2 linked regions of the Arabidopsis thaliana genome follow. The protein of the gene in region 1 interacts with the protein of each later gene in a pairwise test. Each region holds a gene or a part of one and is shown in the gene's direction. Other genes may lie near its edges.

What was found. The genes of interacting proteins can lie anywhere in the genome.
Region 2: the proteins of AT2G43420 (region 1) and AT2G24170 interact in a protein complementation assay, tested with the Arabidopsis thaliana proteins (one large-scale study listed by BioGRID).

The regions. Positions count from the first base shown.
Region 1 is NC_003071.7:18,030,646-18,036,869, reverse strand, and holds AT2G43420 (3-beta hydroxysteroid dehydrogenase/isomerase family protein), read left to right. Parts: upstream 1-1,687; 5' UTR 1,688-1,933; coding exon 1,934-2,180; intron 2,181-2,330; coding exon 2,331-2,420; intron 2,421-2,497; coding exon 2,498-2,631; intron 2,632-2,717; coding exon 2,718-2,888; intron 2,889-3,030; coding exon 3,031-3,147; intron 3,148-3,242; coding exon 3,243-3,322; intron 3,323-3,727; coding exon 3,728-3,920; intron 3,921-4,008; coding exon 4,009-4,111; intron 4,112-4,479; coding exon 4,480-4,654; intron 4,655-4,809; coding exon 4,810-4,966; intron 4,967-5,046; coding exon 5,047-5,113; intron 5,114-5,225; coding exon 5,226-5,377; 3' UTR 5,378-5,602; downstream 5,603-6,224. Other genes in the region: GLX2-1 (glyoxalase 2-1), read left to right, coding at 36-159, 404-504, 823-897, 970-1,068, 1,155-1,301; FPA (RNA binding protein), read left to right, coding at 5,881-6,150.
Region 2 is NC_003071.7:10,273,503-10,279,009, reverse strand, and holds AT2G24170 (Endomembrane protein 70 protein family), read left to right. Parts: upstream 1-1,743; 5' UTR 1,744-1,821; intron 1,822-1,888; 5' UTR 1,889-2,115; coding exon 2,116-2,223; intron 2,224-2,567; coding exon 2,568-2,732; intron 2,733-2,828; coding exon 2,829-2,938; intron 2,939-3,022; coding exon 3,023-3,131; intron 3,132-3,204; coding exon 3,205-3,317; intron 3,318-3,394; coding exon 3,395-4,703; 3' UTR 4,704-4,911; downstream 4,912-5,507.

The DNA.
Region 1 (6,224 bases):
CTCAAGTGTTTTTATGTGACTTATGTTGCCGACAGGTGATTGGATCAGCTGTAGATAAAGATCGGATTCCTGGAATTGACATACTTCTGAAGGATAGTGATAAGTGGATGTTTGCTGGCCATGAGGTTCGGATACTTGACACTCCTGGCCATACACAAGGTTTGTAGCTGCCATAACCTCTACTGTAAAATACTAAGAACACATCTATACAGTCAAATATTGCCAACGTTAGAAACCTTTGGTGGATCACATATTAGTATCTTATTTGTCATTCTAATTTGTTATCCTCAATACATTACTGTGTAACTGCTCTCCTTTTTTATCGTTCTAGTGTAGTACAACTAGTAATTAATGTATACTTGGTGCCATGTTTTATCACTTAACTGTACTTATTCTCAAGCAGGCCATATTAGCTTCTACTTTCCCGGGTCAGCGACAATATTCACAGGAGACCTGATATATAGCTTATCCTGTGGTACCCTTTCAGAAGGTACCCCTGAGCAGGTAACATCAATTTCAAAAAGCAATATTTCAACCTTCTCGACCCTTGCACTGTTATGATTATTTTCTTGTGGCAAAAATTGTGCCAAGTGATTTGTGGTTTTCTAAATCATGTTTCTTTTTCAACCTTCATATCTTTTTACTGTTATGGTTACTTTCTTGTGGCAAACTGTGCTGAGTCAAATGGTATAGACTTTATGGAGAGATCACTTGGGACTTGGGAGTACTCTAATAACCGTACATTGTAGTTTCTTTCACAGAAGCAAACTTATTGTGCTCTGTCCTTTTTAACGAGAAAACCTTTTTTGCCTTATGACTCAGATGCTTTCATCACTCCAAAAGATCGTGTCTCTACCAGACGATACAAATATATACTGCGGCCGTGAAAACACAGCAGTAAGTTCCACGCACATAAATACTCTTAATTCACATTGTTCAACTCTCTTTTATATCTCCTCCATGATACAGGGCAATCTCAAGTTTGCTCTATCCGTAGAACCAAAGAATGAAACTCTTCAGTCCTATGCAACTCGAGTCGCCCATCTTCGCAGCCAGGGGCTCCCATCGGTAAAACCTCTTATCTCTTCCCTATCTCCTCTTTCTCTCTAAACCTCTCTCTAGATTTCATTTACTTACGGATTTGTTGTCTGTAGATTCCAACGACTGTCAAGGTTGAGAAAGCGTGTAACCCATTCCTCAGAATATCGAGCAAAGATATCCGAAAATCTTTAAGCATTCCAGACTCAGCAACCGAAGCTGAAGCATTGCGTCGTATACAGAGAGCCAGAGATCGTTTCTGAAAACTTGGGTATATTTTCTTATTTGTATAGAAAAATTTGCAAGTCAATCATCAGCTGCAAAGATCAATATTTTATATGTTTTGGGCTTTCTTCAGTTATCATTTGAAGTTGTGTATTCAACACAAAAAAATCTAAATATTTAGTTTAAACTCAATTATTAAATTATGAGATTTTCAAGTGTAATGAATGCTTCAACATACATACACAAGTGTATAGATAGATACGGTTTAGTTTCTCTCTACAAGTGCTTACCAAATTTCTAACAATGGAAATCATATGTTTGGTGGATTGATGGAATTGGCTCACCAAACGTGAAAACGCAACCGTGCGTCTACGATTTAATATTAGCTTTACTAGATTTGTTTGTAACCAAGGAATAATTATACAGATAATTTACATAAATTAAGTCAAATCCATAGATTTATGGCAAAAAAGTGTGAATATTAAATTATAATTACACAGCCGAAGAATAAAGGAAAACGCTAAAAGGTTGCGCGAGTGGAGAGTCTGCCCGCCAAGCAACCCCTAGTATTCAGCTTTTTGTGCACTGATCCAACTCGACTCGGCCTTTTTCTCTGAGTTGACTCGACCGAGAAAAGGCGATAGAGCTGGGGTTTAATTCGGCGATAACAATGGACGAAGATTCCGTCCATGGCGATTCTCACCTCAAGACATGTGTCGTCCTCGGCGGACGAGGGTTCATTGGTCGATCGCTTGTCTCCAGATTGCTTCGTCTCGGAAACTGGACAGTCCGAGTCGCAGATTCCGGTCACACTCTCCATCTTGATGAATCCGATTCGCTCCTCGAGGATGCTCTCTCCTCCGGCCGCGCTTCTTATCACTGCGTCGATGTTCGTGATAAACCTCAGATCGTTAAAGGTTTTCCTCTTATTTCCTGTTGCACTTTGTTAGATATGACATTGATGGATCGGTTTTTGGTATCTAGAAAATGCTATGGGGGAGTGTTTGGCTATTTGAGATTTTCGGGTTCTGATTTGAGTTTTGGTGTGACTGTTTTGTTCCTTGCAGTTACCGAGGGTTCCTATGTTGTATTTTACATGGGAGCTACTGATTTACGTTCCCATGATTACTTTGACTGCTACAAGGTTATAGTTCAAGGTAAAGTTCTTAGTCACTTCAAGATGGTTTACCATTATATTAGTTAAACTTGGGTGGTTAATCGATTTCTCGTATAGGTACAAGAAATGTGATTTCTGCCTGTCGTGAATCTGGAGTCAGAAAACTTATCTACAACAGTACAGCTGATGTTGTTTTTGATGGTTCCCAACCTATACGTGATGGTGATGAATCCTTGAGACGTCCTTTGAAGGTAATCCTTGAGCATGTTTGTTTAGTTGGTTTTTGTCGTTGGTCTTTTTCAGAGATGATATCTGTTTTGCTCTGATTCTCTTGCAGTTCCAATCTATGTTGACAGACTTCAAAGCTCAAGCAGAAGCGTTGATCAAATTGGCTAACAACCGAGATGGTCTCTTAACTTGTGCACTTCGCTCTAGCATTGTATTTGGACCTGGTGACACAGAGTTTGTACCTTTTTTGGTGAATCTAGCCAAGTCCGGATATGCAAAGGTCTTACTATTAGTTCATCCCATTGTTGCGTTTTTGCGTCTACGTTTATTATCTTATTATACCTGGTAGTATTCCTTGAGCTTGATGCATTCTTAGTTTTCCTTTTTTGGAGGAATGACTGTCTTAGTTTTTAAAATTTCAGTTTATACTCGGGAGTGGTGAAAATATCTCTGATTTCACTTACTCGGAGAACGTTTCTCATGCACATATTTGCGCCGTTAAAGCATTAGATTCACAGATGGAGTTTGTGGCTGGAAAGGTAACCTCTTTGAGTCAAAGTGTATTTGCCAAATCACTCCTGAAAGCGCATGAACTTTATATGTGATGAATTTTTACTGTGCCGACTTTATGTAGGAATTTTTTATCACAAACCTCAAGCCGGTCAGATTTTGGGACTTTGTAAGCCATATAGTTGAAGGTCTGGGATACCCAAGGTAAATAAGCATCCGAACAGTTTTTGATACAATGAAACTTGCTGTGAACTCCTTTTATCTTTCTGTTTCCTGATTATCAATGTAGCATGGGAAAAAGGCTCCTCAGAACTTCTGAACCTACCTTGAATGTTCCCTTCTTAAAGCAAAAGATCTTAATTTTCTGTTGATAGATGTCCTGGAGACATGTCTAGAAGAACCGTTTCGAGAACAGCCATATTCAATTAGTTTTTTTAGATATAAACTATCTATACATGGTGATTCGCTGATATTTAGTATTTTATACATGGTCGTATATGTTTCCTTCTCCTATGTCTTAAATATTGATCATTTTGAAAAGTTTTAGATCCTTAGAGCTAACTTTCTGGTTTACCTGTTTTGATATTTTTTTTTCCTCTTTAATTGCAGACCATCCATTAAACTTCCTGTTCGGCTGGTTTTGTATGTTTTCTCACTTCTTAAGTGGACACATGAAAAGGAGGGCCTTGGGAGTAATTATGACACAGCACATCAGTATGCTCTGTTAGCTTCATCAACGAGAACTTTTAACTGCAATGCAGCTAAGAAGCATCTTGGTTACACACCTGTTGTGACACTTGAAGTGAGTTTGTTGGATAGTATTTTGGCTTTTTGCATATTCAGCTGCTTAGTACCTTCCTTGGATTTATTAGCTCTTGTTGGATTTGTAGGATGGTATTGCATCAACGCTTCAATGGTTCTCTCGGGATCTTGAGAAGTCTGATGACACAATCATTCAATCTACTGCAGATCAGCTTCTTGGTTGTGGGAAAGGTTAGAACCATCTCGCTATTAACAATTATAATGCCTTTTTGAAGTGTTCTTGGCTAAGTATTCAGTTGTATTGCTTGAAGTCCGCATCTCATCTAGCTATGGATATGATGATGCATGTTCACAAGGCTTAACCTGGAAAGAATCTATCTCTATTTTCAACTTAGATTTGTTTGCTTCTAGATGTCTAGAACATGCTGAAGTATCTGCTTGGTTAATTTACATCTTCTTCCAGTCCATGTAATTTCATGCGAGTTCCAACTTTATTTCATGCACATATAAACAAACTCAAAGCGAATCTGGTCAATGCAAGCTTTTAATATTAATCTCTTTAAACTGACTTAGCTTTTCATCTCTATGTTCTCATGCAGTTGCAGACATCTTGCTGTGGAGAAATGAGAAGAAAACCTTCGTTTCTTTTCTTGTCCTAAACTTGTTTTATTACTGGTTCTTCTTTTCTGGAAACACATTTACTTCATCTGCAGCCCAACTTCTGTTTATATTTGCTGTTGCTCTCTATGGAGTCTCTTTTGTGCCGTCAAAGATGTAAGTATTGGTTCCAGAACTTTACCATTATAGAAGGCAGTGAAAATAAGTTGTGATACCAAAATTGTCCTATCAAAGGATGATGCACCCATGTATATATATTTCACCTTTGAAATCTATATGCAACTAAGTGACAGATTGATTTATTTTGACAGTTTCGGGTTTCAAGTCAACAAAATACCCCCATGGAGATTTGAGATCTCCGAATCCGCTGTGAGAGATCTTAGTAGTGATATCGTAGTTGTCTGGAATCAAGGAGTTCGCAGTTTTAAATCCTTAAGCAGTGGAGGAGACTGGATCAAGTTCTTCAAGGTACAATTCTACTCTTTATGCTCACCAAACATGAAAAATATCTCATTGCTCTCGTTTCCTAAAACAAAACATAAAAACAGATTGCAGGATCACTGTATCTCCTCAAACTGATTGTATCCCGTTCATTGGCAGCATTTCTTTTCACAGGTACTCGAACAAAGCTTTTGTTTTCACACTTCATAAACATGATTAACAACTTCATAAACATGATTAACAACTTCTTTATCCATAACATTTTCTCTACGCTTTGCTTGGACAGTTATGTCGTTCTCATTCACCGGTTTCTTCATCTACGAGCAATACGAGCTTGAGCTCTACCACCTAGCCCGGATATTCGTCGAATGCTTAACATTTATTAAAAGGATGGTGATACCTGTTTCTGATGCTTCATCTAAACCAATGTTCATGTGAAGCTTCCAAAGTCCTCCACTAAACGAACACCAACAATCCCAGAGACTAATTGCAGTTATTAGATGTCTTATGTACAAACATTATGCTATCAGGATGTAATCTTCACTGAGAGGGGATGGATATATGATTATTTACGAATTTGCCATAACTACTATCAAAATGCACCGTTTTGATCCGGTTTCCAAAAAAAAAAGAAAAAAAAGGAAAGTATCCTTATATATCCTTTAAAAGCCGCCGCTTCGATATTCCCTGGCCTCTCTTTCTCTCACAATCTAATCTTCTTCGTCTTCAAACTCAATCTAGGGTTCTCTTCTCCTCTCTGTAGGTAGGATTTTGAACACCCAAATCTCTCATCGAATTTTTCTTGCTCAACGTATCATCGCACAATTCGTCTCTCGTTTTCCGTCACGTGGATAATCGAAATCTCATAATCCCAAAGGTAAAACAATCAATTCTGGGATTGGAATTTTGGATCCATAGGATCGTCAATTGAAACAATCCCGATGGCGTTATCTATGAAGCCATTCAGAGCCGATGATTCCGGTTTCCAGTCAAACAATCTTTGGGTCGGTAGCCTAACGCCGGAGACGACAGAGTCAGATCTGACCGAGTTGTTTGGAAGATACGGCGATATTGATAGAATCACGGTGTATTCTTCACGAGGCTTTGCGTTTATATACTACAGACATGTGGAGGAAGCAGTCGCAGCCAAAGAGGCTCTTCAAGGAGCAAATTTGAATGGAAGTCAAATTAAGATCGAATACGCACGACCGGTTTGTTCTTATCTATATCTTCGTTTGTTCTCTAACTTTGATTGTCTTTTGTCAACGATTATACTCTTTTTGCG
Region 2 (5,507 bases), 7.8 Mb from region 1:
CCATGATTAGATGTTTTATTTTTGTTTGATTGATTCGCAAGTAGTGACTAGTTTTGTATTTTGTTACTGATATGATTCGTTTGACTCCGAGTATTTTAGATCTAATAATCTGGAATATCAGAAAGTCATTAAGTTGAAAAATGCTAAATCTAAACGACAACAAGCTAACAATGAACCAAAAGGACCTAAAAAACTGGAAAGAAAACTAAGAGATGAAATAGGAGCACCTAAGCCACATAGAAAAAAGGTGAATGAACCAGAAACATTTAAAACCCAAAGAAAAAAGGGTGATGAAGCAGAAGCATATAAAACAGAAAGAAAAAAAAAGTTTGATGAAATTGAAGAAAAAAAGTCTGTCTTCATGTTCGTTGCACTCGTCGTGAACCCCGAACCTCAAATGATTTAAAGATTAAAAAAGTATTAGACTGCTTTCGATAATTCCTTCTTAGTTCTATGAAACACTATAATCTATTTAGACTACCTCAGCGTATCAATATTTTTTTCTTGTATAGAATATCCAATCACGACCAATCGAATTTCATCAATCTATAAGAATGCCATTCTCATGCAATTTTTCTCTTATAGCCAACATGCTCATGCAATTTTGATTATTTACTTAAATAAATAAATAAATAGAAGTTTATATAAGTGTCAATAATAAGCTTAACCTTGAGATTCTTTGAGAAACGTTGCATTTATAGAAGAATTTGTCAGTAATTCTAGTAAGATACGAGCAATCAATTGGTATTTTTGATTGTTACTTCTCTCATCTCACAAGTTTGAATGGTTACGGCAGTTAAGATGGATAAATCCGTCAATGGTTTAATCCGAACTATTTTTAAAGTAGACAACAAACCGTCGCAACCAACTCTATTTATATGTAAAAACGGTATGTGGTTGATCCGCATCAGTTTTCTTTTTTAAATCCACACAGAAGTAATTTGTGAAATGGTAAATAAAACGTGGTCAAATACACAAACGAATTTGTCCACCTTAACCACAACAATCATTTAGACCCTAAAATTGATAATAAATGGACAAGTGAACATAGAAAATATGGCAATTTATGTTATTTTAGACAATCGAAGCGATTATTTAGGCGTTACCTGAGAGTCTAGTGCCTAGATAGAGTGTAAACGACCGCCTAGACCATTTTTTATAATACTGAACTTTTGTAATCATTTATTTCGGAGGTGGTGCACACGACAATGCCTACATTACTCGTGAAAACTATATTATACCTCAGAATACCAAAGTCCATGTTCCCGATCCCAATATCATCAAAGAGTTGGCCCATATCAAATGCTATGTTAATTTTTCTTATCTTTTCAAATTATTCTAATGTTGTGTTGCCAACGACTGCTTTTACTTTATAATAGAATAGAAATAATAGAAGTTAGTTTCCGCGATTACTATTATATGCTTACATTTATACCGGACTAGTTATCTCCAGAAGAAAACCGTCCGTTTTCAATTTGAAAACAGTCTGTAAAAGAAAGACTTACATTTATCTAATGCGGATTTGTATTGTGTGTGTGTGTGCTTTTTTCTTACATGTATTTATTGGTAATGTACATTTAATTATATGTCAAGGTGGTTGCTGGTGTGTGTAAGGTTTCATAATCTGCTAGAATAGTTAAGAGGTCACCTTCATTTACCAAATGGATTTTGTCTTCTAATTGATTTAAATCCATTTTTTTCTTTTATTCTTTGAATACTTTTTCATAATTATTTCGTATCCTCCACACTAACTCATTTCTACTTTGCTACATTTACAAGTTTCATCTAATCTACTTAAATTAACAAAAAAAAAAAAAAATTGTTTCCTTATTTAAAAATTAGATTTCTCGTAAATTGGACTTTGATTTTAATTATTGTCTATTCAAAGTTTTATTTTTTTACCTTAAAAAGTGTTGACTTTGATATTTCATTACCTTAAGAAGAAGAATCACCGACAGCTCCAACTTAGGAAATCTCAACCGTTGATTAAATCAAACGAGATACTAAAATATCCAACGGCCATAAATCGTCCAATTGCCATGTTTCTTCCCACTCTCTTCTCCTTCATTTAAGAAATTTCACTCTCCGAAGAAGAAGACGAAATCGAGCAAATCCATGGCGAAAGTTCGGATTTTGATCTTCACCCTTGTCTTATTCTTCTCCCTCAATGTCCATATCCATGGATTTTACCTTCCCGGCGTCGCTCCACAAGATTTCCAAATGGTCAGCCACATAAAATCATCTCTGTATCTGTATTTCACAAATGCAGCTTCTTCTTAGAGCTTTGATTCACACTGGGTCTAGATTTTTTTCTGATTTAGATCCAACGCAATCGATCAAGTAATCTTGTTAAAATTGGATCTATGGCTCTGTTTTATGAGATTTGGGTAATTTTGATCTTCAGTTACCACTGAGTGTTGTGTTTAAAGAGAATGTTTCATTAGTCTATATGTATTAGCCATTGTTTAGACTTGTTTCTGTGTGAATCTAGCTTTTGGAGTAGAAGAATGTATAATGGTCATTATCTATAAAGGTTCAAACTTTGGAGTTATGGTTTTGTTTTTCAGGGAGATGCATTGATGGTGAAAGTTAATAAATTGACATCTACAAAGACTCAGCTTCCATATTCCTATTATTCTCTTCCTTATTGTCGTCCAGAACATATTGTTGATAGTGCTGAGAATCTCGGTGAAGTTCTTCGTGGTGATCGAATTGAGAACTCTCCTTTTGTGGTATGTTCTTGTTTCTTCTTGGTTCTTTCTCTATCTGTCTTGGTTAAGTGGTAGTTGTTGAGTTGTTTTTAATGTCTGTTTGTTTCTTTGTTGCAGTTTAAAATGAGGGAATCGCAGATGTGTGCTGCGGTTTGTCGTGTGAAGCTTGATAAGAAAACCGCAAAGGCGTTTAAGGAGAAGATTGCTGATGAATATCGAGTTAACATGTGAGGAGATTGATTTTGTCGCCTTCGACTGAATGTGTTTTGTTTTTCTTCTGTTTTTATGAGGAAGATTGATTTCTTATGCAGGATTTTGGACAACCTTCCCCTAGTTGTTCCGGTGCAAAGGCCAGATCAGGACAATGTTGTAGTGTATCAGCATGGTTTCCATGTTGGTCTCAAGGGAATCTTTGCTGGCGTAAGAGCTCATCATCACCTTTTCTGAATATGTTTCAATGGAAAGAGTTCTTATTTATTTGATTTTCTTGTAGAAAAAGGAGGAGAAGTATTTTATCCACAACCACTTGACCTTCACTGTTAGGTATCACAGAGATATACAGACCGATTCTTCAAGAATCGTTGGCTTTGAAGTCAAGCCGTTCAGGTAGCTTTTTGTGATTTAAGGACTTTGACTCTGTATTGTGTAAGCGACTAACATCTACTGATTTTATCTCGATGCAGTGTCAAACATGAATATGAAGGTCAATGGAATGAAAAGGCTCGGTTAACGACTTGTGATCCGCATACAAAGCGTGCAGTCACTAACTCTGAGTCTCCTCAGGAGGTTGAAGAAGGGAACGAGATTATCTTCACATATGATGTTGACTTCCAGGAAAGTGAGGTGAAATGGGCGTCTAGGTGGGACACTTACCTTCTAATGGCTGATGATCAGATTCATTGGTTCTCAATCGTTAATTCTATGATGATTGTTCTTTTCCTCTCTGGTATGGTCGCTATGATCATGCTAAGAACACTCTACCGAGATATTTCCAACTACAATCAGTTAGAGAGTCATGAAGAGGCCCTCGAAGAGACGGGTTGGAAATTGGTACACGGAGATGTTTTCAGACCGCCAACAAACCCGGAGTTGCTTTGTGTTTATGCAGGCACTGGAGTTCAATGCTTTGGAATGATTCTTGTCACCATGATCTTTGCTTGTCTTGGCTTTTTATCTCCTTCAAACCGTGGTGGTCTTATGACGGCTATGCTTTTGCTTTGGGTTTTCATGGGACTATTGGCAGGATACGCGTCTTCACGCCTCTACAAGACGTTAAGAGGAACCGAATGGAAAAGAAACGCTCTGAAAACCGCATTCATGTTTCCCGCTACCGTCTTTGTCGCCTTCTTTGTCCTTAATGCGATAATCTGGGGACAAAAATCATCCGGTGCAGTCCCATTTGGTACAATGTTTGCTTTGGTTGTCCTCTGGTTTGGTATCTCTGTTCCACTTGTTTTCATCGGTGGCTACATTGGTTTCAGAAAACCTGCACCGGAAGATCCAGTGAAAACCAACAAGATCCCGCGGCAGATCCCAACACAGGCCTGGTACATGAACCCAATCTTCTCCATTTTGATTGGAGGCATTCTCCCATTTGGCGCAGTCTTCATCGAGCTCTTCTTCATACTCACCTCAATATGGCTACATCAGTTCTACTACATATTCGGCTTCCTCTTCATCGTCTTCATCATTTTGATCATCACTTGCGCAGAGATCACGGTCGTCCTCTGTTATTTTCAGCTGTGTAGTGAAGACTATCAATGGTGGTGGAGATCTTACTTAACATCAGGCTCTTCCGCGGTTTACCTCTTTCTTTACGCAGTCTTTTACTTCTACACCAAACTTGAGATCACAAAGCTCGTCTCTGCAGTGCTCTACTTTGGGTACATGCTCATAGTTTCATACGTATTCTTCGTCTTTACTGGTGCAATTGGTTTCTACGCATGCTTTTGGTTCACCAGGCTTATCTACTCTTCGGTTAAAATCGATTGATCTTTAATCACCTTCTTAGTAAGCTGTATCTTAAATCTTGTTCTTTTTCGTTCTTTTGTTTCCTCCTTTTAAATTTTGTGATGATTTTGAGATATGTAGACATAAACTTTTATTTTATTGTAAACATACATAGAGCTCAAGAGTACAACAATTGTCTCATAATAACAGCAACTTGTCACACACTTTTATCAGCAATCTCAGTTTTTATTTCTTCCATTCTTAGTAGATTAGAAACTAAGTTTGTTACTACTGCAAGGTCATACAGTTTACATTTTTTTAATAACTGTTTCTAATCGACAATTTTTTTTTGGAATTCATGAAACTGCGTACCTCATGTTTTTAGGAACATAGTTTTCAGAATATTAAAAATGAAATAAAAAATAATGAACTCGATCGACAAGGTCAAGTCAAGATAGTATGTGGTAGATAAACAAAAACAAAAAGAAACGTATGTGGTGGATAATTTAGAATTGAATGAGTCAATCAGTAGTCTATATGGACCAGTGGCACAAATCACTGAGCAGAGATGCATGAAGAATTAGGAGGATAAGAAGTCCGACGAGTTCACACGATAGATTGTTCTCGAAGTCAAGAACTAAACTCCAGAAGTGTTTTTATTTTCCTTTTTTCTTATTAAAGGCATACTCAGAAGCCATAGTCATAACCTATTACTTACCACACACTGCACACACATACACACAGAAAGTAATTATGAGTCCACAACAATCTTATTGCTTTTCTGGTGTTACGTTGTATTCCTTCTTTTTGGTTTTCTTTGTTCTACACACATTTGCTTCTCCTACG